Linked DNA regions of Macaca fascicularis. The protein of the gene in region 7 interacts with the protein of the main gene of each other region in a pairwise test. Links are inferred from orthologs where the notes say so. Each region holds a gene or a part of one and is shown on either strand. Other genes may lie near its edges. The genes, in order: RFC5, NME7, MORF4L1, NEDD9, PHOSPHO2, TCEANC and NAB2.

Region 1 (3,781 bases), about 61 Mb from region 7:
TCTTCTCCTAGCTATTGTGGTTCAAAGGGTACCATTAGCAGAAAGGAAAGGGTACTATTAGCAGAAAGGACTATCCGATAGTTTAGGGATGAAAGATTTTCCACACCCCATCCCATGGAAAGATATGAATTCTCAACCCTGAAATTGAACCCAGTGTCAAAGGAGGTTGAACACCAGTGACTGGCCAGACTTAAAAGTCCCCGCAGGGCTTAGTCCTTAGGCTGCTGAAGGGGAAGGTCCCACTGCAGAGGTATCTTGCCTGTATCATCAGATGGGAGACACACAGAAAGGCATAGAGATTTCTCTGGGCCAGAAGATGAAAACTGAAAACAAGTCATGCCATATCTCATGTCCAAAGTTCCTAATTCTCCTGTAATCCCAGCACTTTGGGAGGCCGAGGTGGGCGGATCACCCAAGGTCAGGAGTTCGAGACCAGCCTGGCCAACATGGTGAAATCCCATCTCTCCTAAAAATATAAAAATCAGCCGGCTGTGGTGGTGCATGCCTGTAATCCCAGTTACTTGAGAGGCTGAGGTCGGAGAGTCGCTTGAACCCAGGAGGCAGAGGCTGCAGTGAGCTGAGATCGCGCCACTGTACTCCAGCCTTGGCGACAGAGCAAGACTGACTCAAAACCATCCCCTCCCCCCCCCAAAAAAACAATAACAACAGCAACAAACACGAAGTTCCTAATTCTCCTTCTAGTGCGCGCGCCAGCCCACACACTCCACAGTGCCTCTGCTTACCTCTTCTCAAGGCATTCTGGGCGTCCTGAGTCATGGCGTCTGCTTCATCCAAGATCACTAGCTTAAAGCCTTTCCTAGAAAAACAAATGGTGCTGTCTAAAGATTTCTTCAATCTCACCTCAACATCGGGGCTCAAACCTACATCTTCCCATTTGTGCCATCAGGTCCTGTCTCGGAAAGGCTATTTCTTCTAGAACTTTGGCCAAGACAGACATCTTTGGTCACTCAGAGAGGAAATGCCCCATCACTCCTTCAACACTTGGTGGGAATGGAGGACTGACTTCTCTACTTCTATGCGCTGTGTCCTCTGGCATCTTCACTTTCCTCCACATACCACCCTACCATGCTACTGCTTTCCCCATCTCCCTCACTCACACCAGAGTCTCTCACCCTTTCGCTTTTTTTGAGACGAAGTTTTTGCTCTGTTGCCCAGGTTGGAGTGTAGTGCCGCAATCTCGGCTCACTGCAACCTCTGCCTCCCAGGTTCAAGCAATTCTCCTGCCTCAGCCTCTCGAGTGGCTGGGATTACGGGCGCCCACCACCATGCTCAGATAATTTTTGTATTTTTAGTAGAGACGAGGTTTCACTATGTTGGCCACACTAGTCTTGAACTCTTGACCTCAGGTGATCCACCTGCCTAGACCTCCCAAAGTGCTAGGATTACAGGTGTGAGCCACTGTTCCTGGCCCTCACCCTTTTTCTTTCTTTTTTTTTTTTTTTTTTAGCCACCATCCTAGTTGTCTTTCCTGATCTCAATTTATTTTAAAATTCAAACTAGCTCATCCAGGCTTAGGGTAATCTAACCAGTTCTCAGGAACTAAAAATGAAGAATGCTTCCCTAAAGAACTTGGTAATACAGGCTGGGCTCACGTCTGTAATCCCAGCACTCAGGGAGGCTGCAGCAGGCAAATTGCTTGAGCTCAGGAGTTCGAGACCAGCCAACGCAACATGGCAAAACCCCATGTCTACTAAAAAATACAAAAATTAGTTGGGCGTGATGGCTCACGACTGTAGTCCCAGCTACTCAGGAGGTTGAGGCTAGAGGATCGCTTGAACCCAGGAGGTGGAGGTTGCAGTGAGCCGAGATCATGCTATTGCACTCCAGCCTGTACCATAGAGGGCGATCCTGTCTCCAAAAAAAAAGGGGAAAAAAAAAAAAGAACTTGCTAATATAAGTGTAGACAACATTTTATTTTAGCAGTTGCATTATAGTACTTCTTACTACCATCCTCTCCTTTATCTCTTTTCCATGGTTGCTTTGGACAAAGTCAGTATTTTTTTTCAACCCATATAAACTGGCTAAGGAGAGGATTAAAAAATTAAGCCATGTCATCTTACTAATCAAAATCAAGGGAGCGAAATTACACAAATAATTCTTACTTAAATATTGTCCTTGTGCTAGCAAAGCTCAGGATTGGTCCTCGAACGATGTCTATTCCTCGGTCATCTGAAGCGTTCAGCTAAACGTGGAAGACAGAAGTCAAAACAAAAAGCATGTTGCTATGCTATCTGTGAGTTCTTGGTTTTAATGTATCTCCTCATCAGTCCAGCTCAGCAGGTTAGCTTTCTATGTCTAATGATGGCTAAGAGATCATCACAAAATAAAAAATCAGTTTTACACAAAACTCACTAAATCAATAAAGATGGCTATATTACCCCCACCGTTTGAGGACAATGACTGACATAAGCTGGAGAAATAATTAATTGGTATGGTTACACTGAATAGCACCTCCGGTATGAGCAGAATGATACGAATTTCAGCTACCACAATCCCAAGGTTACCAAGTTCTTAATAAACTGACATAAGGACATTAGTAGCAGCAAAGTTCTGAGACCCGCGTCTAAAAGGTAAATTAAACTTTTCTTGCAATAGACAATATTCACATTTTTGAATCTAAGTATGTTAGTCAAGGTCGCAGCAATATACAGATGGCATACTCAAACGCAGCAATTTGAAGAGAATTAAACAAGGAGATCTTTTTAAAGGTGCGATAATAGGAAAACCATGGGGCTATGCAATACCCGTGACCCTTAAGCCTGAAGGGGTTAGTGAAGGGAGTGGCTGTAGGCACCTGGAGAGGGCTGCAGGAAAGGTACCACCTGTGAGATGTACCCTACAGATGGGCCATGCTGCCAGCCTGTCAGCCCTCAGGGAAGGTCCCGGCATCACTCACTTCCTTCCCCTACCCCTGCCAAGGCCTCTATTGGCCAAACCCAACCAGGAGCCAGAGGCTAAGTAAGCTTATAGTCAGTAGAGCTCAGCCTTCCAGGCAGGAATAGGGTGGAGAGATGTGGAGAATTGATCTGGAGGGGCCATGGCAGACAGGCTGCAACCAAGTAACCATAAAGGAGGGTTTGGGTAGAAGTTGGCAACAGCAAAGAAAAAGGTGCCTAGCCCTACAACTGCCCTCTAGCTGACCAACACTAATCCAGACTAAAATGACCATTATAGGAAAAAGGGAATTAAAATATCTTATTTCGAATTTACTTCTTTCCTAACTGTCCATGGGGCAACTTACTTTTAAAGTAAAATAAAGCCAGCAGAACTGAAATTCAGAGACTGGAGTCCTAAGTTATTTGTGGAGTAAGAACAATTGTATTTACCTCCAAGACCATGGAGCCAAATTCTTTGTCTTTATACAGCTGTTTCGCACAGGCTAGGATGGTAGATGTCTTGCCTGTCCCTGGGGGACCATAGAGAAGCAAGTGTGGCAGTCGGTCTTCACTGATAAACTTCTGAACTGAGGATCAGGAAGGAAGAAGGGCACCATCAGTCTTTGGGAGCCGCCTCATTCACCCTGGGCCCCTGAGTTGGGCTGAAAGCTCTTCAACCCAATGCAATGTCCAAATCAGAGGCAGATGCAACTTGATGTAGGGGCCTTGTCTCTGCGTTCCTGGGGCAACTGGAATTCACTCAATAGTGCAGCCAGCCAGCAAGTATTTATTGAGGGCCTACTGTGTTACAGGCACCTTTCTGGGTGCTGACAACATCTGTAAACTTAAATGATTCGCTGTAATGCTATTTTTACTCCACTGAG
Region 2 (4,521 bases), on a different chromosome or scaffold from region 7:
TCTACAATTTCTTACTATTCAGAAGTCATGTAGCCAGAGGTCACAAGATTTGTAACTTCACCAATTGCTCCTTTAGATAACATCACTATTATAAAACCTAAGATTGGTCTTGATATATTTTTCAGGCTTCTGCATTCTGGCAAACCTCCTGATGCCACCCAGATACATGACTCATACCAAGAAACTGACTCTACTAGTCCTATGACTCTCACCTAGACAACTGACTCAGCACAGGAAGACAGTTTGGAAACACCTATAAATTCATCCCCAACCAATCAGCAGCACCCACTCCCTACCCACCTGCCCACAAAATTATCCCTAAAAACCACAACCTCCAAGCTGTCAGAGAGGTGGATTTTAGAAATATCTCCTATCCTGCCACTCAGCTGCCTTGCCTCCATTAAACTCTTTCTCTGCTGCAACTCCTGCATTCTCGATGTTTGGCCTTTCTGGGAAGCGGGCAAGAAGAACACGTTGGCCTGTAACAGGAGAATAAATAAGAGTTTGGCAAGCAACAAGAGGGTGCAGGTATTCTGTGCAGAAGGAATTGCAAGTGCAAAGTAGAAAGAGGAGGCATACTACCAGTTTGAAGTTGCTTGGTATGTTCAATGAAAAGCAAGTAGCTAAAAGGCAAGATAATTTTTTATAAAAAAAAAAAAAAAAAAGGTATGGAAAAGGAAAGGCAAAAGCTAGACAGAGAAGTGCTTGTTCATGGAGGAATTTGTGTGCCACTCTAGACATTTTACTGTAGGAAATGGGGATTCTAGAGTTTTAAGGAGGTGAGTAAATCAACAGGCTGGGTTTTTAAAAATTCCTTCTTGTGGCAGAGAAAATAATGGATTGGAGAATTTCCAGACCAGACTGTAAAAGTCACTATTAAAATAATCAAGAAATGAGGAGATGACAAACTAAAATTTGATCTAGTGACCAACTGAATATGGGAGAAATAGGAAAGGGAGGAATGTAGGATAACTCTGATTTCTAGTTTAGGTTACAATATAGTAGTAGCAGTATTTAACTTGGTGAAAATAGGAGAAACCAGGAGGAAAGATAGCAAGTTCAGTTTTGGTCATATTAAGTTTGAGGGACCTTTGAGACAGATGTGTCCGGGAAGCAACTGAGTTAGGCATTAGTAGATCTGAGAGAAAAATTGAAATTTAGAAGCAAAATCAAAGGTGTTAATAGAATCCATGTGAGTGGACAAAATCACCCAAGGAAAATGTCTAGACTAAGAAATGAAAGTAATTAAGGAGTGAATTCCAAAGAATGACATTCAAAAACCAGGCACAGCCAGTAAAAGGAATTAATGACTATGAACCTCAGTTGTCACAAACAGACTAAGCGATATAAATTTTGAGAAGTAATTACTGTATTTGGCATTTAAAAGGCCTTTAGAAACTTAAGCAAGAACAACTTTCTTGAAGGCATTAAAGAAGCCAGACAAAAGACTTTTGTCTGTTTGATATAAGTAAAAATAATATCCTTTCAATAAGTTTACTGATAGATAGGAGGACTGGGAAATAACTGGATAAACACAGGATGGATGACATGGTTTTGCTTTATTTAATTTTCATAAGATGTGTGACTTGAGCACTGAGTAGAAGGAACTGAAGAGGAAGAGGCTGAAAGCACAGGAAAGAAAAAAGACAACTGGAAGCGAAATGTAACAGATGGAAGCAAATGAGATCAAAAGCAAAGATGGATGGATTATCCTTTAATATCCCTTTCTCTACACTAGAAATACAAGACTAAAGGCTTGGCAAAAATATAGATCAGTGTGTAGGTTGGGGGCATGAGGTTGAAGAATTGTTATACTCCATCATGTTTAGAAAGGAGAAATGAGAAGGGCAAAAGACAGGGTTTATAAATGGAAGGTTTGAAAATGTCTTTACAGAAAATGGGGCAGGGGAAAACTGGGGTAACCAAAAGGATTGCTGAGTAGTATGAAGAAACAAGGGGTGATGGGTGGGGGCTCTGTTTCTAAATTCGTAGCTATAACTATCTAAAGATCTTTCTATCTTCCAGTCCATTATCCATAAGTGCTTAAAAGACACGATAGTTAAGTGAATTAACTAGAACCCTGGTACTCTCAAACATGTGGGTGAATTAAAATCACCTACAGGTTTATTTAAAATGCAAATACCAAGCCCCATTCCTTTCATTCAGAATTTCCAGGGGTGAAGTCCAAACAGTGAATTGCAGAAGCTCTCCAAGCAATCCCAGGAGAAATTTCTGTTTAAAAAAAAAAAAAAAGAAAGAAAAAAAGAAGAAGAAGAAGAAAGAAAAGAAAAGCAAGCACAGACCTAGAAGGTAAGCAACTGGACAGACGAGAGCTGATCCAACATACATCTGTTAATGGCCCTCGTGGGGGCGTGGGGCAGTGCTCTGCCACTCAGAAAAGCAAAAGGACTCCAAGATCTAGGGAGATTCAGATCAGTGTTGAGACAGTCACATACACACCACCCCACACTCTTAATAAAGCGCGTTAATGTGAATCTGTGAGCATGAAAAATGCCACGATGAACAATGAAAACACATAATGTTGTTCAAAACAGGTGATTAGACTCGATGCCTTACCCTGAATTTTCTGTTTCATTACTCTAGAGACTTAGTAGCATCAGTGGAATTCAGGGTGCTGTAAGAAATACGGAGAGCGAGTAAACTGCAGTAACAGCCCATGGGAAGGGGGAAAGAGATAATGAGGAGAAGGTCGGGAGGACAGGACAACTTTAAGTGCCCATCCGCCCGAAGACTTGGAACGCTAAGTAGCTAGGACCCACAGCCGTTATTCTGACATCCCCTGGCACTCACCATTGTCTCAGGATCTCAGCACTAGAAAATAGGTATCGTTGAGACAGGAAGACACCACCACCAACACCATCATCCGGTTACTCAGGCAACAGAGCACCGCCCACTGTCGCACGGTGCGTGGGACGCCACCGCCCCACCTCTTCGTCCTTAGTGGCTGGGAGTAATCTCAGCTGCGTTCATCCAATCGACAGGCCCGCCCCTCCACGCTGTCGCCTGGGGCTACGAGACGCCGTTTTTCTGTTTCCGGCAGTTTTACTTCCGTTTGTTTAACAGCTGGCCCGGAAGTTTAAGTGAATCTGAGGCTTGGGCTCCAAAAGTTGCTGTACAGTATTTTATTTTAAAGTAGACATCTGTCCGCTTTCCACTTACGGAGGCCTTACAGTGTGTGTTCTGTGTTACTTGAGTTTAAACGCACTGCAGAATGTATTTACCCTTCTCTTTTGGAAACGTATTCCGGAAGCGAAACCCTGAGTAATCGGAAGTGGTTAGGAGTGAGAGAGCTCCTGGATATGTGGAGGGCCTGGGCGGGCCGGCTTCTGAATGGAAGAGGTCTGTGAGAAGTTAGCCTGGTGATACCGATCCGAAGAGCCTATGAAGTGAAGTCCCCTGAAATACGGAGAATAAGAATCTTACAGGTAAATCCGAGGACAAGCAGGTATAACTAAGGATGTTGGAAAGGGACGGAGGTCTGGCTGGAGCTTGGTGGCCAGTAGCTTTGGATTTAGGGAACGATTGTTGTTCCGGGAAGGCTTTTTCAGACAGGAATGGAACTTCGGTTTCGACTTCCCGGGACAGCAAAGGTTGACAGACTTGTCGCTTCCCGGCCTATCGCTCTCATACCTGCTCACTCCCCCTACTTACTTCTTCACCCCCTCACCTTCATTTGGCATTTGCCAGCACGCACTCGGTGTGCCTGTATGTTTCGCAGAGCAACTATCAAGGGCAGTTTCAGGGATCGTTACTCTTACGAAGGGTTTTTTGGATACCTCTTTTCGGAGCAATAGACTGTAGTGTAGAAAAGTTTGTGACTGTTAAGAAAGTTAGTCGTCGGGTTCACTAATTGAACTGAGTTGTATCTAGTACTGAGAGCGATCTTTTTTTGTAGTGACACCAGTTGTCATCTAGTGTACAGTTTGTCATATTTATATCATTGCAGTAGCATCACCTTTTTATATGTTTTCTAGTAAATCTGAGTCTGTACTGTAGGCAGTGTGTACATTTCTGAAAGCATGTGCTCAATATATGTTTCTCTTTTTACTTTTGGAGCTACACTATTTTAACTTTATTACCAAAAAAATATGAATTATGTTATCTTGAGTAATATTTTTTCTCGTTCGTTACACATCTAAACAGAAGCTCCTTTTTGATGTGTGTGTGTGTCTGTGTGTGCATACGAATTGTGTCAGTATGTCTCCTAAGAAAGTAATTACTTTAAAATTCCTCTTGTCGTACGGATGACAAAAAACCACCACAGTAACTTCATTGCCATTGCTTGGCTAAAATTCAGGACACACTTCTGACAATTTAGAGTGTATTGGTGAGGATGGTGAAACGGAATATTTAGAAGTAAACCACCCCTATTTTTTTTTTTTTTTTTTTTTGAGACTTTTAGTAGATGTAACAATGCCTTCTGGGAGAAAGGGATATAAGAGACATTTCGCTTTCTAAATGCATGTGTACTAAATACAGAAGCAATTAAAATATCATAAC
Region 3 (4,349 bases), on a different chromosome or scaffold from region 7:
AATACAAAAAGACTAACCGGGCGAGGTGGCGGGCTCCTGTAGTCCCAGCTACTCGGGAGGCTGAGGCAGGAGAATGGCGTAAACCCGGGAGGCGGAGCTTGCAGTGAGCTGAGATCCGGCCACTGCACTCCAGCCTGGGCGACAGAGCGAGACTCCGTCTCAAAAAAAAAAAAAAAAAAAAAAAAAAAGGCACAAGGAATTCTCTGCTGCTATTCCCCTCTTAACTAGCAACCCTCTAGAACTAAAGCGCTTCCTTAAACAGCCAACCTAAGGCTGTTCCTACAGAAGCGATTAACTTTTTGTGCCTTGTCTGATACAGCCTACGAGCCGAATGATTTCATAAATACATAAAACACACAGTAGTACAAAGGCAACCAACTGTATCGAAACACCAAAACATTTTAAATGTCACGTTCTATGACATTACAGGACAAAGACTTGGCTAGTCATCCAGCAACTACCCTAATTTTGAAGAAACGAGAATGATTGATAACTGAAAACATCTTCCACAACTGTAATGCTGAGATATGAAAATACACTGAAAATACTAATGCGGCGTTTTTTTTCGGGGTTTGGGGGGAGGAATTACACTGTTAACTGAAAACTAAACTTGGGTACACAGAAAAAACACATCTTCCTCATTCAATTTCACGGACCCTCTGAATGCACTGACTAAGAATATCTGCTCTAAAACGTCTAGTAAAATAATGAATCCATAGGAGGTAGAGTCACAGATTCTCAAGGTGGGAGAAGGGTATTAAAAGTCACACGGCTGAGCGCGATAGCTCACGCCCGTAATCCTCCCACTTTGGGAGGCCAAGGCGGGTGGATCGCTTGAGCCCAAGACTTCAAGACCAGCCTGGGCATCATGAAACTCCGTCCCTACCAAAAATACAAAAAAAAAAAAAAAAAAAAAAAAAAACCCACAAAGAAAAAACCCCTAAAAACAAAACAGAACAAAACTCAGCCGGGCATGACGGCGCGCGTCAGTGATCCGAGCTACTTGGGAGGCTCGCTTTAGCCCGGGGGGCAGAGGTGAGCCGAGTACCATAACTGCCCTCCAGCCTAGGTGACAGAGTGAGACATCGTCTCAAAAATATAAACAGGCCGGGCGCGGTGGCTCAAGCCTGTAATCCCAGCACTTTGGGAGGCCGAGACGGGCGGATCACAAGGTCAGGAGATCGAGACCATCCTGGCTAACATGGTGAAACCCCGTCTCTACTAAAAATACAAAAAACTAGCCGGGCGAGGTGGCGGGCGCCTGTAGTCCCAGCTACTTGGGAGGCTGAGGCAGGAGAATGGCGTAAACCCGGGAGGCGGAGCTTGCAGTGAGCTGAGATCTGGCCACTGCACTCCAGCCTGGGCGACAGAGCGAGACTCCGTCTCAAAAAAAAAAAAAAAAAAAAATATATATATATATATATAAACAAAAAAGTCACTCGTTAACAAAATACCCCTAAAACTCCCTTAAATATCCCATAAGATACGCAGTACTACGGTTTAAGATTTATGTCTCTAAAAGGAATTTTAATGCAAGTCTAAAAATCCCTAGAACAAAAATAGTACGCATGGAAACACCGTATTTACGGTAACTAGCATAAATTTCGATAGCAATGAAAACGAATATTAGAGTGTTCCTCCTTTTCAACAGGATTTTACTTCCTTTTTAGCTATTAGACCTCCACCTTATTATACATAAATTGAAGCGTTGTGAAAATTTAAAGAGCTGCCTTCCACTGGCAGTCTAACCCTAGCCAAACATGCCAATCGAAAACCAATTAATAAAAATAAACTCAACTTTCAAGTCACCGTTAAACACTGCAACTAATCAAACAATTACTGCATTTAAAAAATGACGTCGAGACAATGGGACTTACAAAGGCAAACGGCGTTAACACTGCATTCAGATCATTTTTATTTACTTTTTACGAGCAACTGCAAAGCGAGAGCGCACTAACATTACCATAGGATCTTGGCACTGCGCCTAAGAGCAGAGTAAGGCCTCCAGGCAACACAAAGCGGAGGAAAACGCTCATCCCACTGATCCTTTTTTTTTTTTTCTGTCCCCACCCACCACTCTGAGGTAAGCGAAGGGTCCCGGCAACCTTGCGGTCTTCGTGGAAGGGGGCGCTGCATCTGCCCTGAAGCTGCGCCTGCATACGGGGCAGAGACGCCAGCGGCCATGATGAAGCCGCCATGTTGCAACGGCCATTTTACAACACAGTTCTCCCGCCCCGTGGCGCCAAACCCACCCCCATCTGCAGCTCCGAGTCTCCACCGAACGCGACCACCCCGGGGCTCCAGGGAGCACCTAACCGCCCGTCGTGGCTGCCCAAGCGGCCGGGCGCGCTGCAGGACAGCCAGAAACCACCGCCGCCCCTCCCCCCGCCGCCACATCACTTCCCCTAACCGCCGCCATGGCGCCTTGGTCGCCTCCCTACAATAGGCTGCTCTCTCCGCGCCCTCTTCCTCAGAACAATAACAAACACTTGACGAGGGTGTGCCACGCGCCAAACGCTCCCTCTCCCACTCTAACGCCTGCGTAGCACTCTCGCTTCACAAAGCGCTCGCAATGACGCATCGGAATTGCCATCCGCAATGCGCTTTCCCCGCACAAAGCACTATCCGCCGCCTTCTCAGGGTGCACCCCGAGCCACCCCCGGCCCTCAAACCTCAACCACCTCGAGCCCGCCTCCATCTCCTGCGCCGTTAGGTGCCTTTTTCCCAAAGGCGCACACTCACCCTCCTGGAATTTAGGCTTCGGGTCCTGCTTCGGCGCCATTTATAAGTGATTCGCCGCCTCCTCCTTCTCCCACCACCCCCGACTACCGCCCCCTACTCTCTACCCCACCCAACTCCGCGTCAGACGCGCCGTCAGGCACTGCCAGCTCTACATCCTGGGCCGGATTTGCTAGCGCCCGCAGACCTCACAGCAGCGCGACCCGCGCAGCCGCTGCTCCAGCCAATGACAACCCGCCGCGCCCGCGCCCCTGCGCCCGCGCCGCCCCGGGGCACGCCGGGACTGGTAGTTTCTAGTTGGTGGAGGCGCAGCTGGGTGGGGGAGGGGCCGGCTACCCTACCCCACTCCTCCCCACCCCCCCGCCACTCCCCATCCCCCGGGCTGCTGCGGGTTGGTAAAGCGGGGAATTGATTACGTGGGAGGTTAAAGCAGAGCGGGCAATGGGGGAGAGTGGGGGCGGTGAACCACCAGCGATGAAAGAATGGGAAAAACCCAGTTGCGACGTCCTTTGGGCAAATAAGCCCCCATTGATGTTGAAGTAGCCGGAGAGAATAGGGCTGCCTCGAAAACCTATATTCAATAGCATTCCGCTAGTTTTTGTATAGAAAAGCTTTAGGATCAGCAATGTGGCCACAAGAGGATGGGAAGTGGGGTCCGCTTCTGGAAGCTTCGTTGTTTAGCAAGCCCACTGCCTAGTCTATTTGGTGGGATTGATAGCCATTTGTTGGCTCCCAGGTCTACCTCCTCTTCTCCAGTCCCGGCCTTGCGGAAATGAGGAAGATGACGTGGGAAACACTAGTCAGGCTTTGGCTTTTTGAGATAATGGAGCTCTGCTATCCGCAAAAGGCTAGTGTGAATATGCCAACCTCTGCATTCCGTACCTGCCCTGTTTGTACTTTTTTGTCATCTAATTTTTGAGCCATGATTGAATGTACACACACTAAACAAACGGATTTCTTCAATATTATATATTTTTCTTTTCTTTTCTTTTTTTTTTTTTTTTTTTTTTTTTTTTGGAGATGGAGTCTCGCTCTGTCGCCCAGGCTGGAGTGCAGTGGCCTGATCTCGGCTCACTGCAGCCTTCACCTCCCAGGTTCAAGCGATTCTCCTGCCTCAGCCTCCGGAGTAGCTGGGATTACAGGCACGTGCCACCACGCCCAGCTAATTTTTGTATTTTTAGTAGATACCGGGTTTCACCATGTTGTCAGGCTGATCTGGAACTCCTGACGTCGTGATCCGCCCGGCTTGGCCTCGGAAAGTGCTGGGATTACAGGAGCAAGCCACCGTGCCCAGCCTGCCTCCATGGCTTTTCTAAGCCCTCCCCTGCCCGGGTGCCACACCCTACCATTTCCGGGCCCCTCTCCATTTTTCTGACTTCCATTTCTCCTTCAGTCTTTTTAACACAACCCCTTCTTCGACAACAGAAACCCACAAAAACCTTCGTTATTCCAGTTGAATATACACCATCTTGTCACGGCTGCTACTTGCAAGCTTGTCCAACCTGCCTTATTTTCCTGTTGTTTTGTTTTGTTTTGTTTAGGCTTTTAGCACCCTGAAGCCATGGTTTTTAGTTTCAGTCTCTAGTAATAAGTAGAAAAGAGGGATGAGG
Region 4 (4,463 bases), on a different chromosome or scaffold from region 7:
CTTTAAATTAACTCACTTTTGGGCTGGGTGCGGTGGCTCACACGTGTAATCCCAGTACTTTGGGAGGCTAAAGTGGGCGGGTCACCTGAGGTCAGGAGTTTGAGACCAGCTTGGCCAACATGGCAAAACCCTGTCTCTACTAAAAACACAAAAATTAGCCAGGCGTGGTGGTGGGCACCTGCAATCCCAGCTACTTGGGAGGCTGAGGCAGGAGAATCACTTGAACCTGGGAAGCAGAAGTTGCAGTGAGTCACACTGCACTCTAGCCTGGGTGACAGAGCGAGACTTTGTCTCAAAAAAAATAATAATCATAAACTCACTTTTTAAAAAACTTAAATACATTTATATTTTAAAAGAAATGTTTATACCACTCCTACAAAAAAAAAAAAAAAAAAAAAACAGGCCATTGTGGTTTAATACAAGGTAATCATAAAAAACACGTACAGGAAAATAAAGCCATGTTAATAATTTGTAGCTAGCTACCAGTGCCTGTTGATGGCTCCGAGCCTCAGATGGAGTTTCTCTTTGTTAAAACAGTAAGGAGCCAAGAGTTAGAAAGGCTTTAAGATCAGGCTCAATGTGACTTCATGCTTTGTCTATGCATCTTGTGCTACACAAAATTCTCCTATTTGTGTTTCACACTACAGAAATTTTGATCAAATGAGTTGTGAAGGTGACAGACAAGCAGGACAAAGTGAAGGTCATTTGCAGTAGGACACATCTTTGTGCTGTGTGGGTTTGCATGAAGAAACGTTGAGCCTAAGGTGCTCTCCCTGAGCTGTGCCTGTGCCCTTTCTCCAAGCCAAATCCAGAAGAAGAGAAGGGGGATCCTTGAATGGATATGTGGGAAATCAAAACTCAGAGTCTAAGGTCAAATGGAGATGGAGCTGATCATTGGAGAACAGAGTACTAAACTCTTTAAGTACCTACAGCAGGAGGTGGCTGGTGGTCTTAGCTTGGGTTACCCCGGAAGTAGACCCAATGCAGAGTTCGAGGACACGTAGTTTAAGAAATGATCCCAGGAAGCATTGACGGGGAGTGAAGGAGTATACAGGGAAGGAGAGAAGCCATAAAGGGCCCCACCACTGTGGGCAACTGGAGCTTGATCCCATGTAGATTATTCCACTCAGGACTGAGGGAGCTGAAATATTTACAGCCTTTGAGGAGTTCATTTCTGGGAATTTTCGTCTGTCATTTGGGCAATTGCAGTTGGCCCTATGTGACTTGGAGAAAGCTCTCAGGTCATGAGTTAAAGACTCAGGTTGTCAGCAGCCAGCTCAGTCAGTGAGGCCTGGAGGAGGGAGGCAGGACACTGACTACTTCGGACACCCCTTCTCTGCCAGATGCTTAAATGTTTGCTTTCCAATCTAATCCTTACCACAGCCATTCAATATAGCTCTTTCCCCTTATTTACATGTAGAGGAAGAGACACCAGGAATTACATCATTTGACCCGTACAGCCTGTCCTCTCCTACACCTCTGCTTCTATCTTCCTAGTCTCCTACTTCTTCTTCTTCTTCTTTTTTTTTTTTTTTTGAGACAGGATCTCACTCTGTCACCCAAGCTGGAGTGAAGTGGTGCAATCATAGCTCACTGCAGCCTTGACCTCCTGGGCTCAAGCAATCCTCCCACCTTAGCCTCCTGCAAAGCTGGGACTATAGGCACACACCACTGCGCCCAGCTATCTTGTTTAAGTAGTGACGTACAAAGTGACAGCCACTAAATAGGTGTTAAATAAATTAACCAATTAACAAGAAATGGTGGAGCGCTAGCTGAACACTGATTTCATATCCTTTCTTTTCCACCAACTCTACTCCCCACATTCTTAGAACGGGAATGTCCTTGAAAGTAACCAAGCTTGGAAGAAAACAGAAACAAAGAAGAAAACTATTTGGCTGATTTCCAGGATTCTGCCATGGACAATTGCTCTTTACACCCAATTCTGGGTGAGAAACCAGCTTCTGGGCAGGGGAAGGAGGGCCTCTTTATGCAGGAGTTTAAATGACTAGAGTGCCTACTCTCACTTCTCAACACAAGCAAAGGGAAAAGATTGGTGGCCGATCTCTGCATAGTTTGGAACTACATATAACCCTTTCAGAACGATCGTCCCCTTTGTGATTATAGATGGTCTTCATTTTGAAATAATTTCAGCAAGATGAAAAGGTTGCCTCAAGTCCTTCATGGAAGAAAGGCAATTGAATGAATGAAGGAAGGAAGAAATGAATGAATGGGTTAAGTGAAAGAATAAACATAGAGAAAAGTAAGGATGGAACTCTTGGGTGGCCCACTATGGACAGGGAGAACACAGTGTGCTGTCACTTGTCCTCAGTCCCTTGGAGATGATGCTAATGACTACAGGGATAGGACACACAGAATCCAATTCTCAGTCACCATTTCTAGCCAGTCAGGACTCATGCCCAAAGAGGCTGAAAAGGACGTAAATGATTCTAATCCATCATAAAGAATAAGTGACGGCTCACACCTTGAAGTACTGAAATAATTCAGGAAAAAAAAAAGCTTAGTTGCTGTCAGGTAAGCTCTCTGACAACAGTAAGAAGAGGGGAGGGGCCATGTACTTACGCACCAGGAAGCATCCACCCAGAACAATTTCAAAAGTAGAAATCTTGCGGGTTTGAATGTTGCACTAAAACCAGCACCTCCAGGTCAACTCGGAGACCTGGAGTCACTCATTCCTCTTTTGGGGCACGTGGAGATCCTCCCTGACCCAGTTGAGGGGTGTTCACAGTGGGGAAACACCACCAGATGTCTGGCACCGACTCAGGAAGTAGGAGCCTGAGTGAGTCCCTCCTCTCCCACAGGCCACGGCAAGTGGCTGAGAACTCACCCAAGGGCAGGATGGCACCGTCGATGGATCATTTTGCCTCCCTGACGCTCTGGCCCTGTCTCTGGGCCGGCGGGCGGGAGGTGACAGCTAGTCCTGCTGCAGGCTCATGCTTCCCTCTCCATGCAGCGAGCGGACTTGCTTCTAAAGGCAGCTGTAAGCATTTCCCTACTGAGCCACCACACACGTCGGATGTGAGTGGCGTATGTATATGTGTGTTTTTCCTTCCGGTTGCTGTGAAGTGATGTTGTCTTGGTTCATTTCCTCTCTGTGCCTCTTCTTTTTTTTCTCGGTCACACTTTCTGATTCGCTGAGGACATTGTAGTTTAGGGACAGGTAAGAAAGCTTGTTCTCATCTGGCTTCTTTGCTATTTTTAGAAAGGTGATCTTTAAATTAGTATTGCAAGGAAATTTGTCAAAATGTATTTTTCTGCGTGGCATAAGCTCCCTCCTAGGCTGCACTGAAGCAAAAGTTAGGCATTTCCAAGCCAACTGAATTGGGATTTTATGGTTTTATGGACTTCGTATGTTGCAAAGGGTTCCACTATTAATTGACACAAAACATTCTTTCATAAGACAAGTGTTTATTGAGCTTGTACACTGGAATAGACACTATGCTAGGGGCTAGGTGCTCAAAGAGTTTCCTACTTACAATGTGATATGGAAGCCTAGATCTGTGTATGTGGACGGGAATTTGAAAGCCCACACCTTTTGTCTTCTTCATTCTGTGCTTTCGAGTAGCAGACAAGTGGCTCTGAGACAAGCCTCCTGGGTTTGAATTATAACTCTGCTCTTTAAACACTTCTGGCCTTTCTGTGCCACGGCCTCCTCATCTGTAAAATGGGAACAGTCACAGGAGTGTTGTGAGAATTAAGCAAATTAGTACATGTAAAGCACTCCAAGAGTGCCTGGCACAAATAGAGTAAGCACAATGTAAGTGTTTGCTATGATCATTAGTGGCAACTTTGTATTATTATCAACTGAGATCTTTGCTATTTTCCTACCCTTCCTCATTTTCCACTCCTTGCTCGTGCCTAGCAAATGCCTTGAGGACATAGAGGGTTGAGAGGAAAGAGAGAGAGGTGGTTTGAATAATGGATGTCCCCAAATGATCCTGTGGTGCCTGATGTTTCTGCTCCAACTTGTTCCTGCTCCATCATGAAGACAAAGAAAGGGCCGCCCTTGGTCCCACCCATCAGACTCAGCTCATGTGTGTTGCGCTCTTGTGGCATCTCTTTTGTTGTTGTTCTGTTTTGTTTTAATTTTCTGTAAGACTTCTCTGAAATTCATTTAATTTTAAATGTTTGAGCTTGTTCAAATCTTGCTAAAGAATATTCTGCTCATACAAAGATGCCACACTTAAAGCAATAAACACTCAGCTCAGTGCCATGTACAGTTGGGTCTTATGAATAAGTCAGTAACAAGAACATCAGTATTAATCATCATACATATATTGTACGTGTTAAGGGCAATGAACAATATTCATCAAGGTATGCTTTTATTCTTCCTTCTTCTCTTTCTCTCTCCTTACAAAACCATTCTTGAGTACGTGCTATGTATCCACATGGTTCCAGATTTGAGTTAGAATTATTCTACTCTGAAGTTTTTATTTTATAGTACA
Region 5 (4,231 bases), on a different chromosome or scaffold from region 7:
ATTACTCCTATTCTATATACAGGGAACAGAGTCTTCTGGTTTGGAGCAAAATAATGGAAACTTCTTAACTCCTAAAATTAATAAAAGTATTTTAAAAGCTTTAACATTTGTATTTTCTAATTATGTTGTTTTTCTTATGTCAGGAAAGTATCTCTTGGCAATAGGAGAACAAAGTTTTGCTTTCCACTTGGTATTGACTTGGTGTCGAAAATAAGAAATGTTACGTGAAAATAAGTTTTTGTCCAGTGGATAAAATCATAGTGCTAAGCTGACTGAGATTTTTCAGAGTCCATTTTTTTCTTTTTACTTGTTTAATAATAGAGGAATTCCACATTCTGTTGTCAATAGACATTTAGAGATTTAGTGCTGCATTAGAAATTAAAATGTCTCCAAAAATTAAGGATATGCACAAAGATTTAGTTTTAAGAATGTGAATCTATTTTGAAACCAATCTGTTAAAGTTCCAAAAAGAGTTAACGGTTCTCTTCAAAAGCACAATCTATGTCCATTTGGTATGTCTGCAATGTTTCCATAGTGTAACAATATCCTGTGTACTTTACACAATGAAAATTAGAAACTACGGCCGGGCGCGGTGGCTCAAGCCTGTAATCCCAGCACTTTGGGAGGCCGAGACGGGCGGATCACGAGGTCAGGAGATCGAGACCATCCTGGCTAACACAGTGAAACCCCGTCTCTACTAAAAAAATACAAAAAACTAGCCGGGCGAGGTGGCGGGCGCCTGTAGTCCCAGCTACTCGGGAGGCTGAGGCAGGAGAATGGCGCAAACCCGGGAGGCGGAGCTTGCAGTGAGCTGAGATCCGGCCACTGCACTCCAGCCTGGGCGACAGCGCGAGACTCCCTCTCAAAAAAAAAAAAAAAAAAAGAAAATTAGAAACTACACAGACATCCAAGAATTGGGAAATAATTAAATAAGATATGCATGTGACAGCATATAATAGAATATCCAGCCAGTAAAAGCTAAGATATTCAGTTCAAATTAAACAAGCAAGTCACAAAATAGTATGTACAGTATAATCCTGTTGTTTTAGAAAATGTTTACATGTGCGGTGGAATGGTTATGGTTGGTTCAACCATAGTTCACACTTTTTCTACATTAATTTTGTAATAAAATTTTTTTCTTCTCAGAATAATTTAAACTGTTTCAGATCAGAGTGCATATGCTACCTTATTAAATTTACAACAAAGAAAAAAAAGAGTGGTGGGTATAGGACAAACAACTCTAGATTGACTTGGATTGTGGTTGGAGTTGGAAGCTCGAGTCTGAAGTCAAATTATATCTGACCACCATGTCAAATTGGCAAGTAACTGACATCAAATCATGAGATTCGACACTTTTTGTAACCAATTTTGTTAAAATTCCAGAGAATTTTTGTTGGGGGACAATTCTCCCTGCGTCTCTGGTGGTTGTGCATGTCTTACTGACTGCTCTTTCCACTATTGTTTCAAGGATGTTTCTACAGTGGACAGCCTTGAGAAACATGCTTATTTGTCCAAATGATAAAGATCTGGGTTCCCTAAGCTCAGGGCTGCTTTCCTGTAATTCAACATACTCTACATCTAGGTGACTTCTTGCCCACTTTGCATTATCCTGTGGGAACTGGGGCTTTAGGGAACTCAGGCAAAATTGCTGATATACTGGCTACTGCTGGGGGTAATTCATTCCTGAAACGAATAGTCTTCTGTCTTCCATGAAACTGCCAGGCTAAGTTAGCCTGCAAACAGGGTAAAATCTCTGTTCCTTCCCAGTTCTTGACACTTTGGCACTGCAAGCTCCGCCTCCCGGATTCACGCCATTCTCCTGCCTCAGCCTCCTGAGTAGCTGGGACTACAGGCGCCCCCCACCACGTCCGGCTAACTTTTTTTGTATTTTTCGTAGAGACAGGGTTTCACCGTGTTAGCCAGGATGGTCTCCGTCTCCTGACCTCGTGATCTGCCTGCCTCGGCCTCCCAAAGTGCTGGGATTACAGGCGTGAGCCACCGCGCCTGGCCCCCAGTTCTTGACTTTTTAAGGTATGCTTCCAAAAACCTACCAGCGCTCTATGTGCACAAACTAATTTATGTCTACAAATATTTTCTTAATTATTCCATACTTACCAGCATTATTACGTAGAACATCTGATAGAAAACCTAAAGAAAAATAGCACGACTGTGTGTTAGGACGTTCGTTATTAAAAATCTTTTTGTTCTTTCACTTTGAGAGACTCCAGTTTGGTGCATTATGTGTACACATCAGAGCCAACTTGTTAGTAATGAAGTTATCTGTACATCAATGTATTAGAAAAGGATCTTTTGAAACCAAACGCGCAGCTACTCCTAACAGATTTCTGTGGTCCTGTATTTACCAATAAATTTAAAATATCTCAAAGGTCCTAACATAAATGTTCTAAGCATATCATTAAGTTTTAACATTCCTATTTTTAAAAAACTTGGCCCCATCTAGTCCTGACCATGCCCCAGAAACCAAAGGATTAAAAAAACGGCGTTTATGTCAGCGAATCCGCGGGTTTTTATAGTTAAGGAAGGGCTTTGCTCCTCACATTCCACCCGCGAGGAGATCGGGGACACACAAACCACGGCTAGGCCTCGCGCGCTCACACACCTGCCGGCTCCACCCCGAGGGTAGGCATCGGACCCAATCGGAGGTCGTTCCCCATGGAGCGCGCAGCAGGCGAGGATGGGAGTAGCAGGCAGGGCGGGGGTCCACGGCCTTCTCACTGACCCAGGCCCGCCGTCGGCAGCCGCCCCGGCGCCTGTGACGCTCCTGCGGGTTCAGTCCTTTGGCCTCGCCCCACGCCTGCCCGCTGGGCAGCCCCACTCACAAGCCCAGCTCGCAGGCGCGGGCGCAGGCGCCTCTCTTGTCTAGCCCGACCGCCAACTGCAGCGCCTTCCTTGTTCCTCGGCGACGGCTGGCGTCACTTCCGGCGGCGTTGCCAAGCAACCGCGTGGTTCGAGTAACAACGTCCACCGGCTGGAGTCCGCGGCGCATGGCGCTACAGTCACTTTTCCAGATCTGGGCGCACCGTGGACACCTCGTCAGAGATGCTGGTACGGTTTGGACGACGCTGTGGACAGGCGAAGGAAAGTACAGGTGAGCTACACTGACTTATCCAGGGACAGGGATTGTTTCTGGATCCCCGGCATGGAGTGAGAGGCGAGGATGCCGAATGAGAGCTTCAGCTGCTTTTTGAAATGGACTCCATCAAGTCGAAAGCATCCTCAATAAGCATCTTTGGGCTCTGTGTAAAGTTAGGCCATCTTGCCCTCAGGTGAATGGATGAAGGAGGGAAACGAGGAGTGGAAGTGGGTGGGAGAATGTTTACAGAAATAGGGGTGGAGAAAAGATAGGAAATCAGAGACCCCCCACCCCCAGCTAACCTAAAACTGCGCAGTTGCAGCTCTGAGAATCTGGGCTTTGTTAAATTTCCGGCACGCTTAAAGTTTGTTATTCACTGATTGAATTGGAATATCTCTTGGAAATATAAGTCCCCTCTTTAGAGTCTTGGCTCTGCTGCAAACTTGCTGATTGGTCTTTACTAAAAGTCTCTGAAGGAAATTCTCCATTTCCTCCTCTCTAAAGTAAATATAAGGTATCTCTCTAAGTCAAATGCTTGCATAGAGTTTAAAAAAAAAAAATCGTGCGACATAAAGTATTGTAATTCAGATGACCTGTTATAACAATTTGATTTTGGAATAGAAATAGACTTCTAAAGAACTCTATCAATTCTAGCTACGACAGTTTCTTAAGTCTGTAAATTGGCAATTAATGTAGTCATGGTGACAACTAGAACTTTGGCAGTTTGAAGTATCTTCATGTCATTGCCCGAACTTCTGTAGCAATAGTGCCCCCTGCACCAGATGCAGAGTGAGAGCCAGTCATTCTTCACTAGTGGATATTTATGCAGTGGAGGTTTCATGAGGTTAGCAGCGGACTTTTGCCATGTAAAAGGAAAGAAACAGTATCAATATGGCAAGTATTGGAAAAGCACAATTACTCCCACATATTCACTTTCCTGCATATGCATTTCTGCACTACCTGGTTTAGATTTACCTAATAGTTGTTAAATAATGTTTTGTGTCAACTAGCTCACAAGCCTCCATCCGAGCCTCGCTGCTAAATTTTAATCTCCATTTTTAGGGGAAGGCTAAGTAGGAGAGGGTTTCAGAGATGTGTGCAACTATTTGTAAAACAAATACTTTATCAAGATTTAGT
Region 6 (4,450 bases), on a different chromosome or scaffold from region 7:
AGATGGTTAATAAGAGATGGGCCTACAGCGCCCAAAAGGAAGTTAAGCAATATTTGACTCAGTTCAGAATTTCTCAACTGAAGGTCTGACTGAGTTTCAAGGTGATTCTTAAAGGGAATTGTAATTATAGCTTTGGGGTTTCAGTGGAGTGAAAGCAGTAATTTGTCTTACCGGCAAAATGAGTAAATCTATAGAAGTTAATGTATTTATGTATAAACAACCAAAGCACTTTGCTCTTCATTTTATATGTTCTTTTATTGACCTTTATATTTCTTTAAAAATTTTTAATTGTGATAAAATATACAAAACATAAAATTAACTGTCTTAAGCTCCCCCCCCCAGCTTTTTTTTTTTTGACAGAGTCTTGCTCTGTCACCAGGTTGGAGTGCAGTGCACAATCTCAGCTTACTGCAACCTCCGCCTCCCGAGTTCAAGCAATTCTCCTGCCGCAGCCTTCCAAGTAGCTGGGACTACAGGCGTGCCCCACCACGCCCAGCTAACTTTTTGTATTTTTAGTAGAGATGAGATTTCACTGTGTTGGCCAGGATGGACTCGATCTCTTGACCTCATGATCCACTCGCCTTGGCCTCCCAAAGTGCCGGGATTGCAGGTGTGAGCCACCACGGCCAGCCTGTCTTAAGCCCTTTTAAGTATACAGTTCAGTAGTGTTAAGTACATTCTCATTCCAGAGGGAAAGTAGGTAGAAGGTGATTGATTCATTGCTCATACCATTTTTCAGTAGGTATATCTTAAATGTATATAGTTTATCATGAAATTACATTAGACTAATAACTTTTCTGATTATGAAAACAATACACGCTCATCACAGAAAATACAGAAGAGGAAAAGAACAAATGAAAATTACCTAAAATCTTGCCATTCAGAAAATGCCCCTCTTTAAAATTTTGTGTAACTCTTTTCAGTCTTTTCACATGTAATTCTTAAATAAAATTTGGATCAGATTCTATTTTTAAATAACACCTTTATTCAGATGTAGTTCACACATCATACAATTCACCTAAAGTGTGTAATTCAGCGTTTTTTAGTATACTCAGTTGTATAACCCATAACCACAAATAAATCAACTTTTAGAAGATTTATTTGTGCCACCACTCCCCAAGAAAATCCCTGAACTTTATCAGCTGCTCCTCCTTCTTCACCCTGCTGCCCTTCTGCCCCACCCTACCTAGTCAACAACTAATCTATTTTCTGTCTCTATAGATTTGCCTGTTTTGGACATTTCATGTAAATAAAATCATGCAATATGTGGTGTTTTCTGTCTGGCTTCTTCCGCTTAGCATAATGTTTTCAAAGTTCATCCATGTTGTAACCTGTATCAATACTTCATTCCTTTTCATGGCAGAATAATATTCTGTTGTGTGGATAAATCACATTTTATTTATCCATTCATCAGTTGATGGACATTTCGATTATTTCCCATTTTTGGCTATTGTGAATAATGCTGTTATGAACATTTGTGTACAAGTTTTTGCGTGGACATATGTTTCCATTTCTCTTGGATCTGCTGGGTCATGATAACTGGTTTATTTATTTATTTTATTTTTTTAGACGGAGTCTTGCTGTGTCGCCCAGGCTGGAGTACAGTGGCATGATCTTGGCTCACTGCAAACTCCGCCTCCCAGGTTCATGCCATTCTCCTGCTTCAACCTCCCAAGTAGCTGGGACTACAGGTGCCTGCCACCACTCCCAGCTAATTTTTTGTATTTTTAGTAGAGACAGGGTTTCACCATGTTAGCCAGGATGTTCTCAATCTCCTGACCTCGTGATCTGCCCGCCTTAGCCTCCCAAAGTGCTGGGATTACAGGCGTGAGCCACCACGCCCAGCCCATATGATAACTGTTTAATCTTTTATATAGTTTTACATCTTGATTGTTTTTCACCTAACTTTATGACCATTTTTCCATGTCATTAAATAACTAAATACATGATTTTTAAATGGTTATATTATTGTATCTAAGGAGTGTGCCATATTTTTAACCATTCTCCATTTAACCATTTGAGGTCCTTCCAATTTCTCCTTAGAAAAAAATTCTTACATATGCAGTCTCCACATCTCTCATTTCCTTAAAGTAAATTTACGGAAGTAGAATTACTAAAAGGTCATTATGTTTTATGTCACTTGTCAGATGGTGTCTGGGAAGATTGCATGAATTCTCTCTCTAAACACTTCAGTGTTCTTAGCCTGTGTATGTTCAGTGGTGATTATTTAACATCAAGTGCTATAAAACAGAGCCCATGGATTTTTGAAAAGACACAGTCCCTGCCATCAAGATGCTTATGTTCACATCTAGACCAGACAGATAAATATAGATCCAAGGGTATTATATAGACAAGATTATGTACATTATGTGGAGAGGAAAAGGTAGACTGCTTAGATAAAGTAAACGCTTGCCTGCCTAGGATGAGATTCACACAGACATAATCATTGAGCAACTTTTTACGCTTAAAAGTTTTTAAAAAATTAACAAAACCAAAATGTAGGAACCAGTTAGTCTAAAGTCATAAATCATCTGGATCATTGAGTCTGAACCTTTCCCTTGTTCAGGAGACTTCTGAGGCAGCACAGTGTAGCCTGTTGGCTTTTGGGACCCGCAGACGTAGCTCTAGCTGCTTTTCAACCTGTGCTGTCTCATGGTTTCTTTAGATTGCTTGAGACATTAGCAAACCCTTTCTGTCTTGTTTCTTACTCTTTTATATTCAGAAGAGTACCACTTTAAAGATTATGAAATGAGCAAGTAGTTCAATTATATAGCTGACTCTGGGGAAAAATTGTCTAGCACTGTTCAGCATTGCCATATTGATGCTGACACTGGCATGATTTCATCTCCAGCATGACCACCGGATTCCACCCAAATGGATTGACTACTCTAGAAAGATCATTGATTTGTAAAATTGGAGATGGAAAAGCTATAGCAGATCCCCTGGCGAGCCTCTTAAGCAGATGTTATGTAGAGGCTCTGCAATACTGTTTGTTTATTTTTCACTAGTAGGAATTAAACTCTTGAGAGTAAACCATACCACCTTAAAGACTCCGTTTTCTAGTATGTCACATACATTTGTATTACATGACTCCTTCAGAAAACAATGCCTAGGTTACTGACAGAAACTGCTATTTTCGTATCCAGAAGCTGCGACTAGCAAAGGCAAACTTAAGAAAACTGAAACCTCTTTTTTCTTTGCAGCTGTAAAGATGTCTGACAAGAACCAGATAGCTGCCAGAGCCTCCCTTATTGAGCAACTGTTGTCCAAAAGGAATTTTGAGGATCTTGGCAACCACCTTACTGAGCTAGAAACAATTTATGTGACTAAGGAACATCTCCAGGAGACAGATGTGGTGAGAGCTGTATACAGAGTCCTCAAAAACTGCCCCTCTGTGGCTTTGAAAAACAAAGCCAAGTGCTTGCTATCAAAGTGGAAAGCTGTTTATAAAGAGACTCACTCCAAAGCGAGGAACAGCCCTAAATTATTTCCTGTGAGGGGTAATGAAGAAAATTCAGGACCTTCTCATGACCCAAGTCAGGATGAGACACTGGGCATCTGCAGCTCAAATTCTCTATCTTCCCAAGATGTTGCAAAACTCAGTGAAATGATTGTGCCTGAAAATAGAGCCATTCAATTGAAACCTAAGAAAGAGCATTTTGGGGATGGTGGCCCTGAATCCACTGGTAAGAGATTGAGTGAGTTGCTGGATCCCATAACACCCATGAGAACTAAATGCATAGAGCTTCTTTACGCAGCTTTAACTAGTTCTTCTGCAGATCAACCCAAAGCTGATTTGTGGCAAAACTTTGCAAGAGAAATTGAAGAGCATGTTTTTACCCTTTATTCAAAGAATATCAAAAAATATAAAACTTGCATCAGAAGCAAAGTTGCCAATTTGAAGAACCCCAAAAATTCTCACTTACAACAAAACTTGCTCTCTGGTACCATGTCTCCACGAGAATTTGCTGAAATGACTGTCATGGAGATGGCAAACAAGGAACTGAAGCAGTTGAGAGCCTCCTACACAGAATCTTGTATCCAGGAACATTACCTTCCCCAAGTAATTGATGGCACACAGACAAATAAAATAAAATGCAGACGCTGTGAGAAATACAATTGCAAAGTCACTGTAATTGACAGAGGAACACTTTTCCTTCCCAGCTGGGTGCGGAATTCAAACCCAGATGAACAAATGATGACTTATGTAATTTGTAACGAATGTGGGGAGCAGTGGTACCACAGCAAGTGGGTGTGCTTTTAACTGTAAATGAGTGTTCTCTTAACAGATAACCTGAGTGATTGATACCTTTTATTTGTACAACCCTTCTGTGCTTTTAAAAATCTTGTACACACTACTCTCTAAAACAGAAGAAGGAGGAAAGAAAGTCGTTCCTGAAGCTGACACCACCATCCCTAAAAGTTACAGTTTGGGGAGAGGGAGTGGATG
Region 7 (4,456 bases):
CCCGCCGCTTAGAGTCGAAACGGCCATAGATGATGCTGTATTTGCGGATCTCCTCTTCCTTCTGGCTGTCGTTATCATCCATCTCAAAGATGTGCCCAACGCTCCGTGCCAGCTTCTTATTCAGCTTTAGCAGGGATGTGACCTCCCCAGCATCCCCCCTTGGGAAGCTCCGGAAGATCCTCTCCACACTTTCCACCACCATGCGTACCATCTCTGGCTCCAGTCGGTCTGGTCCACCCCCAGTCCCACCTGCTGCCAGCCCCCCAGCCCCAGTCCCCTCAGGGACTCCTCCCCCTGCAGGGGGGGAGAAGGGGGGCGAGCCAGCCTCCTCTTCTCCTCCTGCCCCAACGTCCGACTCTGGAGTGCTCCGGCCTGGCCAGATCCGGGGGTCCCCTGCCCCAGGTCCCCCAGGCAGTGGTGATAGCTTCTCTCCAAGTTCAAGGGGGCTCTTGGGGCTAAAACTGCGGGCACTGCCTGCCTTTTCCCCTGGGCTGCCATGCCCATTGCTCATGCTCCCTTTCCGGGTACCCGCAGTCTCAGAGATCTTGAAGAGCGGGATGCTGGAGACGGGAACAGCAGGCACTGGTTGACTGAAGAGCCCTGGATTGGTGGCCCACTCTCTCAGTGCCTTCTGCAGGCGCCGGACATGGAGGGGCTTGGTGGCCATGCCCACAAGTGCCATGATCTCCAGAAACTCCTCCTCACCCGCCTCACACAGCTGCTGCACGTCGTCCCCTCCCTGCTGGATGAAGGTCTCATAGTAGGAAAGGAGGTTGGCACGCTGCAGGACCCGGTACAGCTGCAGCTCCCCCAGCGTCCGAGGCAGTGCCATGGCTCGGGCACTGGGCCTGAGAAGGAGGGGCACAAGAGAGAGGCAGTCGGTGCAAGTCCCCTACTGGGTACCAACCCACACTAACAATTGTTCCCTCTTTCCTGCCTGCTTTTCTTCCCCTCTCTCATTTGGATGCTGTCCTGCGCAGTGCCCAGGTCTGAGTACAGACTCTGAGAATCAGGCACTGCTCAGAGGCATGGACAAGCCAGTGCTGTCCTAGACTGGCCTGAAGCCCCAAAAACCAGTGCCCTGTGTCTGCAGGAGTCGAAGCCTCTTAAACCTTATCTTCAGCTTATATCTTTTTGGTCTGAGGTAAGAAGAACTTGAGCGCTGAAGCTAACCAGCACCGACCTCGGATGGCTGGACCTCCCTCTCCCCCAAAACACAATCCTCACCTTCCACCCTAAACACTCAGCAGTCTCAACACTAAAGTGAAGTCGCCTATACTAAAGTGAATGTAGAACCCCTGTCTCCCGCACAGTGGACGCTGCTGGCCAGCTTCATTCCCTGTGAAGGAGCCACAGCCCCAGGTGGCTAGGAGGGAGGGTGTGGCACCTTCCCTGGCTTTCCCACTCAGTGAGCCAGGTGGTGCCTTGCTCTTCTCCGCTCAGCTTTTCCGAGGGATTAAGCATTTTTTTTTTTTTTTTTTTTTAAGACAGAGTCTCGCTCTGTTACCCAGGTTGGAGTGCAGTGGGGCTATCACGGCAACCTCCGCCTCCTGGGTTCAAGCGATTCTCCTGCCTCAGCCTCCTGAGTAGCTGAGATTACAGGCGCCCGCCACCACGCCCAGCTAATTTTTGTATTTTTAGTAGAGACGGGATTTCACCATGTTGGTCAGGGTGGTCTCGAATTCCTGACCTCGTGATCCAACCGCCTTGGCCTCCCAAAGTGCTGGGATTACAGGCGTGAACCACCGCGCCCGGCCTGGTTAAGAATGGCCTGGTTAAGCATTCTTAACCAGCACGCTTCCTCTCTCCCCCCAGGACCTCTCCACCCTTCCAGGCTGCCCAGTGCTCCTCAGTGGCCCCTCTCCTAGCAGTGACACTCCCCACTTCCTCAGTCGGCCTTTTCCTTCAGCTCAGGGGCTGCGGCAGGGGGAGGGGCGCAATTGTTCTGCTCCGGGGCCGTTCCGCCCACACACACTCCCACAGTGGTAGCGTCTGTGGGCGAAAACCGCCCAGGGGCTCCCGCCTACTCTCCTCTCCCTTATTTTCCACCCGCATCTTCAAGTGGAGTAGGGGAGAGGCTCAAGGCCTCTTGCAGAAGGGGCTGCACACTGAAACTCCCCTCCCCACTCTGTGCATAAAGGGACAGACATAGGAAGGAACTGCCTAAGGCCTCCCTGCCTCCCTCGTCACCCCCCTTCCCCCAGCTGATGCTCCTTTAACTCAAAGGCACCGCCTTCTCCTGGACCCCGGGGGCCCGCGCGCTCCGTGCCAACGAGGGACTGAGGCAACTGAGCGTCCCCCCACCTTCCGCACTGACGCCAGCTCGAGCTCCAGGGCATTCCCTGGTGCTAGGAGGCTCCCACGTTCTTTACAGGGGGCACTTAGGCCAGAGAGAGCCCACAGAGTAAACCAGGAATGGATATTTAGGTACTACTCTTTCATATCCAGCTTCATCAGATGTTTGCCTGCTCCCAGGGCCCCCTAATTCGAAGACGCACCCCCTTTTCCATCAGTCTCCACCCCCCACCCCCGTCCCGCTTCCCCACGTCCTCCCCTCGACCTCCGCCCTCTGGACCCCATTCCCAAGTCCAGCTCCACCCATCTCCACTCCCCGCTGCCTCCCTTTGCCCACTAACTTGAGTCTGGGCTGCAGGGTCCGGCGGGCGCTCTCCCCTCCGCCCGGCGGCTGCTCGGCTGTGGGGGAAGGCGCTCTGTGCATGGACGGCCGGAGACCACCCGGGTTGCTCTTCTCGGTGCCCAGCGCTCGGCGCCTGCTGCGTGCTGCACTCTGCCCCGCGCACGATGCCGTGTCCACCGCTGTCCAGGCTCTGTCCCTCCCTCCACGTCTTCTCTCTCCGAGCCTCCGCGCCTCTGTCTGTGCCTCTGCCCCCCCACCCTCCCCGGCTGCGCTCGCCGCCTCTCCGCGCCTCCGCCCCCGCAGGACGCACGGGGAGCGAGGCCCGGCGCTGCGCTGGCTGCCGGGCTGGCGGGCGGAGGGCGTGGGCAGAGCCGGGGGCGGGGGTGGGGGCGGGGGCCGGGGGGCGGGCACCAGGGCCTCTCGGCCGCGGAGACGCCGCGGCTTAGAGACTGGGAGAGGCGGAGACTGGGGGGAGGGGGTGTGGAGCAGGAGGCGGGGGCGGGGATTCAGAGCCGAGGCGCCGAATTGGGGACCGAGGTGACCGAGGCCCGGCTGTGGAGGGCGGGCTTGGGGACGCAGCGGGCGGGGCGAGGTCGCTCTGTGCCGCCCACGCCGGATGCACAGCCGGCCCTCTTGGCGCCCACGTACCCACGTGAGCGCCCCGCCGGCGACATTCCTAGTCTCCCCCACTCCTCCGAGTTGAGAGGAGTTTCACAACCACGCACAAGTACACAAAGAAGCGCACGGACGTGCACACGCACCTAAACAACGACGGGGACGCCCGTTGCCCACACTCAGGCCTTGTGGTGCTGGACCTGTGAATGTTAGGAGTCAGTCGGGAAAAGTTCGCGAAGGCTGGGGTGTGCGGCTCCTCCTGCGTGTGCATCTGACTCCCATAATATGTGTGCACTTAAGGCAGGCCTGAGAGCGTGGGGTTCTGCAGGGATCCCCTAGATATCCCCGCGCCCCTCCCCAGCCCCCCAGTGGAGTAATCTGAGGGGGCAGCTTTCAGAAACCGAGGCCTCCATGCTAGCCTGGAAAAGTTTGGGAAACAGGGATGGGGGGGTTATGCTGCATGCCACCACTTAGGTGCGCGTGTTGATTGGACGCATCGGGTTTTGTCAGCGCGTAGGTCAGGCAGGGATTCCTCCACTTGTCCTCTGTTTGCTGAGGATGAGGCCCTGCTTGGGAATTTTGTGTGGCAAGGCTGAGACAAAGACGATACTCTTCCTGGGGCCGTCTATTAGGGACCTCGTCCGAGAGTCAAGTGGAAGATAAGAGGTCGGGAGCCTCCGACGTGACTTCCTGCGGCGGAGCTGGAGGGAGGAGCGCCTTGAAGGAGCTTAGTCCCCCACCCCCTGCAACCCACCACCGTCTCCCCCTTTGGTTTCTCCTAGCCCCATCTGGTTCGCATTGCACTCCCGCCCACGGCTGGGAGGGCTGTTGGGGGAGGCGGGGGCTCTGAGGGCCCGGCCCAAAGGCTCTAAGCCCCAGGGAAAGGGGGGCTGGTGGGGGACAAAGGGAAGCCAGCGGACTGGCCACAGGTGAGGTTTCCCCTAGTCCGAAACCTGAGCCCCGCCCCGCCCCTCTCCTCTGTCCGCACTTCTGAGGGGCTGGGGCGTGGAGGCCGTGGGCTGGGGCTGGTTCTACATTCTGGCCTAGAGAGGAGACCTTTCCGCCTTGTGGGGTCCGGGGAGAATGAGCGCGTTGTTGGTGGGGGGATTTCAGTTGCTCAGGTCCCCTTCTTCATCCTATTAAGCGCCAAACACAGTGGGGGTGGTGGGAACGAGCAGAGTCCCGTCTCCCAATCCTCCGCCC

The links.
Region 1: the proteins of NAB2 (region 7) and RFC5 interact in binary tests that used the Homo sapiens proteins (3 or more experiments, as listed by UniProt). The link is inferred for Macaca fascicularis from reciprocal best matches to the Homo sapiens genes NAB2 and RFC5.
Region 2: the proteins of NAB2 (region 7) and NME7 interact in binary tests that used the Homo sapiens proteins (3 or more experiments, as listed by UniProt). The two-hybrid records come from large-scale screens. The link is inferred for Macaca fascicularis from reciprocal best matches to the Homo sapiens genes NAB2 and NME7.
Region 3: the proteins of NAB2 (region 7) and MORF4L1 interact in binary tests that used the Homo sapiens proteins (3 or more experiments, as listed by UniProt). The two-hybrid records come from large-scale screens. The link is inferred for Macaca fascicularis from reciprocal best matches to the Homo sapiens genes NAB2 and MORF4L1.
Region 4: the proteins of NAB2 (region 7) and NEDD9 interact in binary tests that used the Homo sapiens proteins (3 or more experiments, as listed by UniProt). The two-hybrid records come from large-scale screens. The link is inferred for Macaca fascicularis from reciprocal best matches to the Homo sapiens genes NAB2 and NEDD9.
Region 5: the proteins of NAB2 (region 7) and PHOSPHO2 interact in binary tests that used the Homo sapiens proteins (3 or more experiments, as listed by UniProt). The two-hybrid records come from large-scale screens. The link is inferred for Macaca fascicularis from reciprocal best matches to the Homo sapiens genes NAB2 and PHOSPHO2.
Region 6: the proteins of NAB2 (region 7) and TCEANC interact in binary tests that used the Homo sapiens proteins (3 or more experiments, as listed by UniProt). The two-hybrid records come from large-scale screens. The link is inferred for Macaca fascicularis from reciprocal best matches to the Homo sapiens genes NAB2 and TCEANC.

The regions. Positions count from the first base shown.
Region 1 is NC_088385.1:124,997,247-125,001,027, reverse strand, and holds part of RFC5 (replication factor C subunit 5), read right to left. Parts: intron 3,485-3,781; coding exon 3,348-3,484; intron 2,204-3,347; coding exon 2,124-2,203; intron 818-2,123; coding exon 744-817; intron 1-743. UniProt on the Homo sapiens protein: Subunit of the replication factor C (RFC) complex which acts during elongation of primed DNA templates by DNA polymerases delta and epsilon, and is necessary for ATP-dependent loading of proliferating cell nuclear antigen (PCNA) onto primed DNA.
Region 2 is NC_088375.1:26,996,239-27,000,759, forward strand, and holds the start of NME7 (nucleoside diphosphate kinase homolog 7), read right to left. Parts: upstream 2,902-4,521; 5' UTR 2,815-2,901; coding exon 2,812-2,814; intron 2,636-2,811; exon of another isoform or gene 2,578-2,635; intron 1-2,577. UniProt on the Homo sapiens protein: Possesses an intrinsic kinase activity. Displays 3'-5' exonuclease activity with a preference for single-stranded DNA. Does not seem to have nucleoside diphosphate kinase activity.
Region 3 is NC_088381.1:56,296,153-56,300,501, reverse strand, and holds the start of MORF4L1 (mortality factor 4-like protein 1), read right to left. Parts: upstream 2,860-4,349; 5' UTR 2,783-2,859; coding exon 2,743-2,782; intron 1-2,742. UniProt on the Homo sapiens protein: Component of the NuA4 histone acetyltransferase (HAT) complex which is involved in transcriptional activation of select genes principally by acetylation of nucleosomal histones H4 and H2A.
Region 4 is NC_088378.1:161,565,043-161,569,505, reverse strand, and holds the start of NEDD9 (enhancer of filamentation 1), read right to left. Parts: upstream 3,030-4,463; 5' UTR 2,846-3,029; intron 1-2,845. UniProt on the Homo sapiens protein: Scaffolding protein which plays a central coordinating role for tyrosine-kinase-based signaling related to cell adhesion. As a focal adhesion protein, plays a role in embryonic fibroblast migration.
Region 5 is NC_088386.1:65,245,985-65,250,215, reverse strand, and holds the start of PHOSPHO2 (pyridoxal phosphate phosphatase PHOSPHO2), read right to left. Parts: upstream 2,901-4,231; 5' UTR 2,621-2,900; intron 2,149-2,620; 5' UTR 2,116-2,148; intron 72-2,115; 5' UTR 1-71. Other genes in the region: CFAP210 (cilia- and flagella- associated protein 210), read left to right, coding at 3,061-3,109. UniProt on the Homo sapiens protein: Phosphatase that has high activity toward pyridoxal 5'-phosphate (PLP).
Region 6 is NC_088395.1:13,442,864-13,447,313, forward strand, and holds the start of TCEANC (transcription elongation factor A N-terminal and central domain-containing protein), read left to right. Parts: upstream 1-1,421; 5' UTR 1,422-1,501; coding exon 1,502-1,691; intron 1,692-3,203; coding exon 3,204-4,264; 3' UTR 4,265-4,450.
Region 7 is NC_088385.1:63,886,796-63,891,251, reverse strand, and holds the start of NAB2 (NGFI-A-binding protein 2), read right to left. Parts: upstream 2,878-4,456; 5' UTR 2,720-2,877; coding exon 2,637-2,719; intron 849-2,636; coding exon 1-848. UniProt on the Homo sapiens protein: Acts as a transcriptional repressor for zinc finger transcription factors EGR1 and EGR2. Isoform 2 lacks repression ability.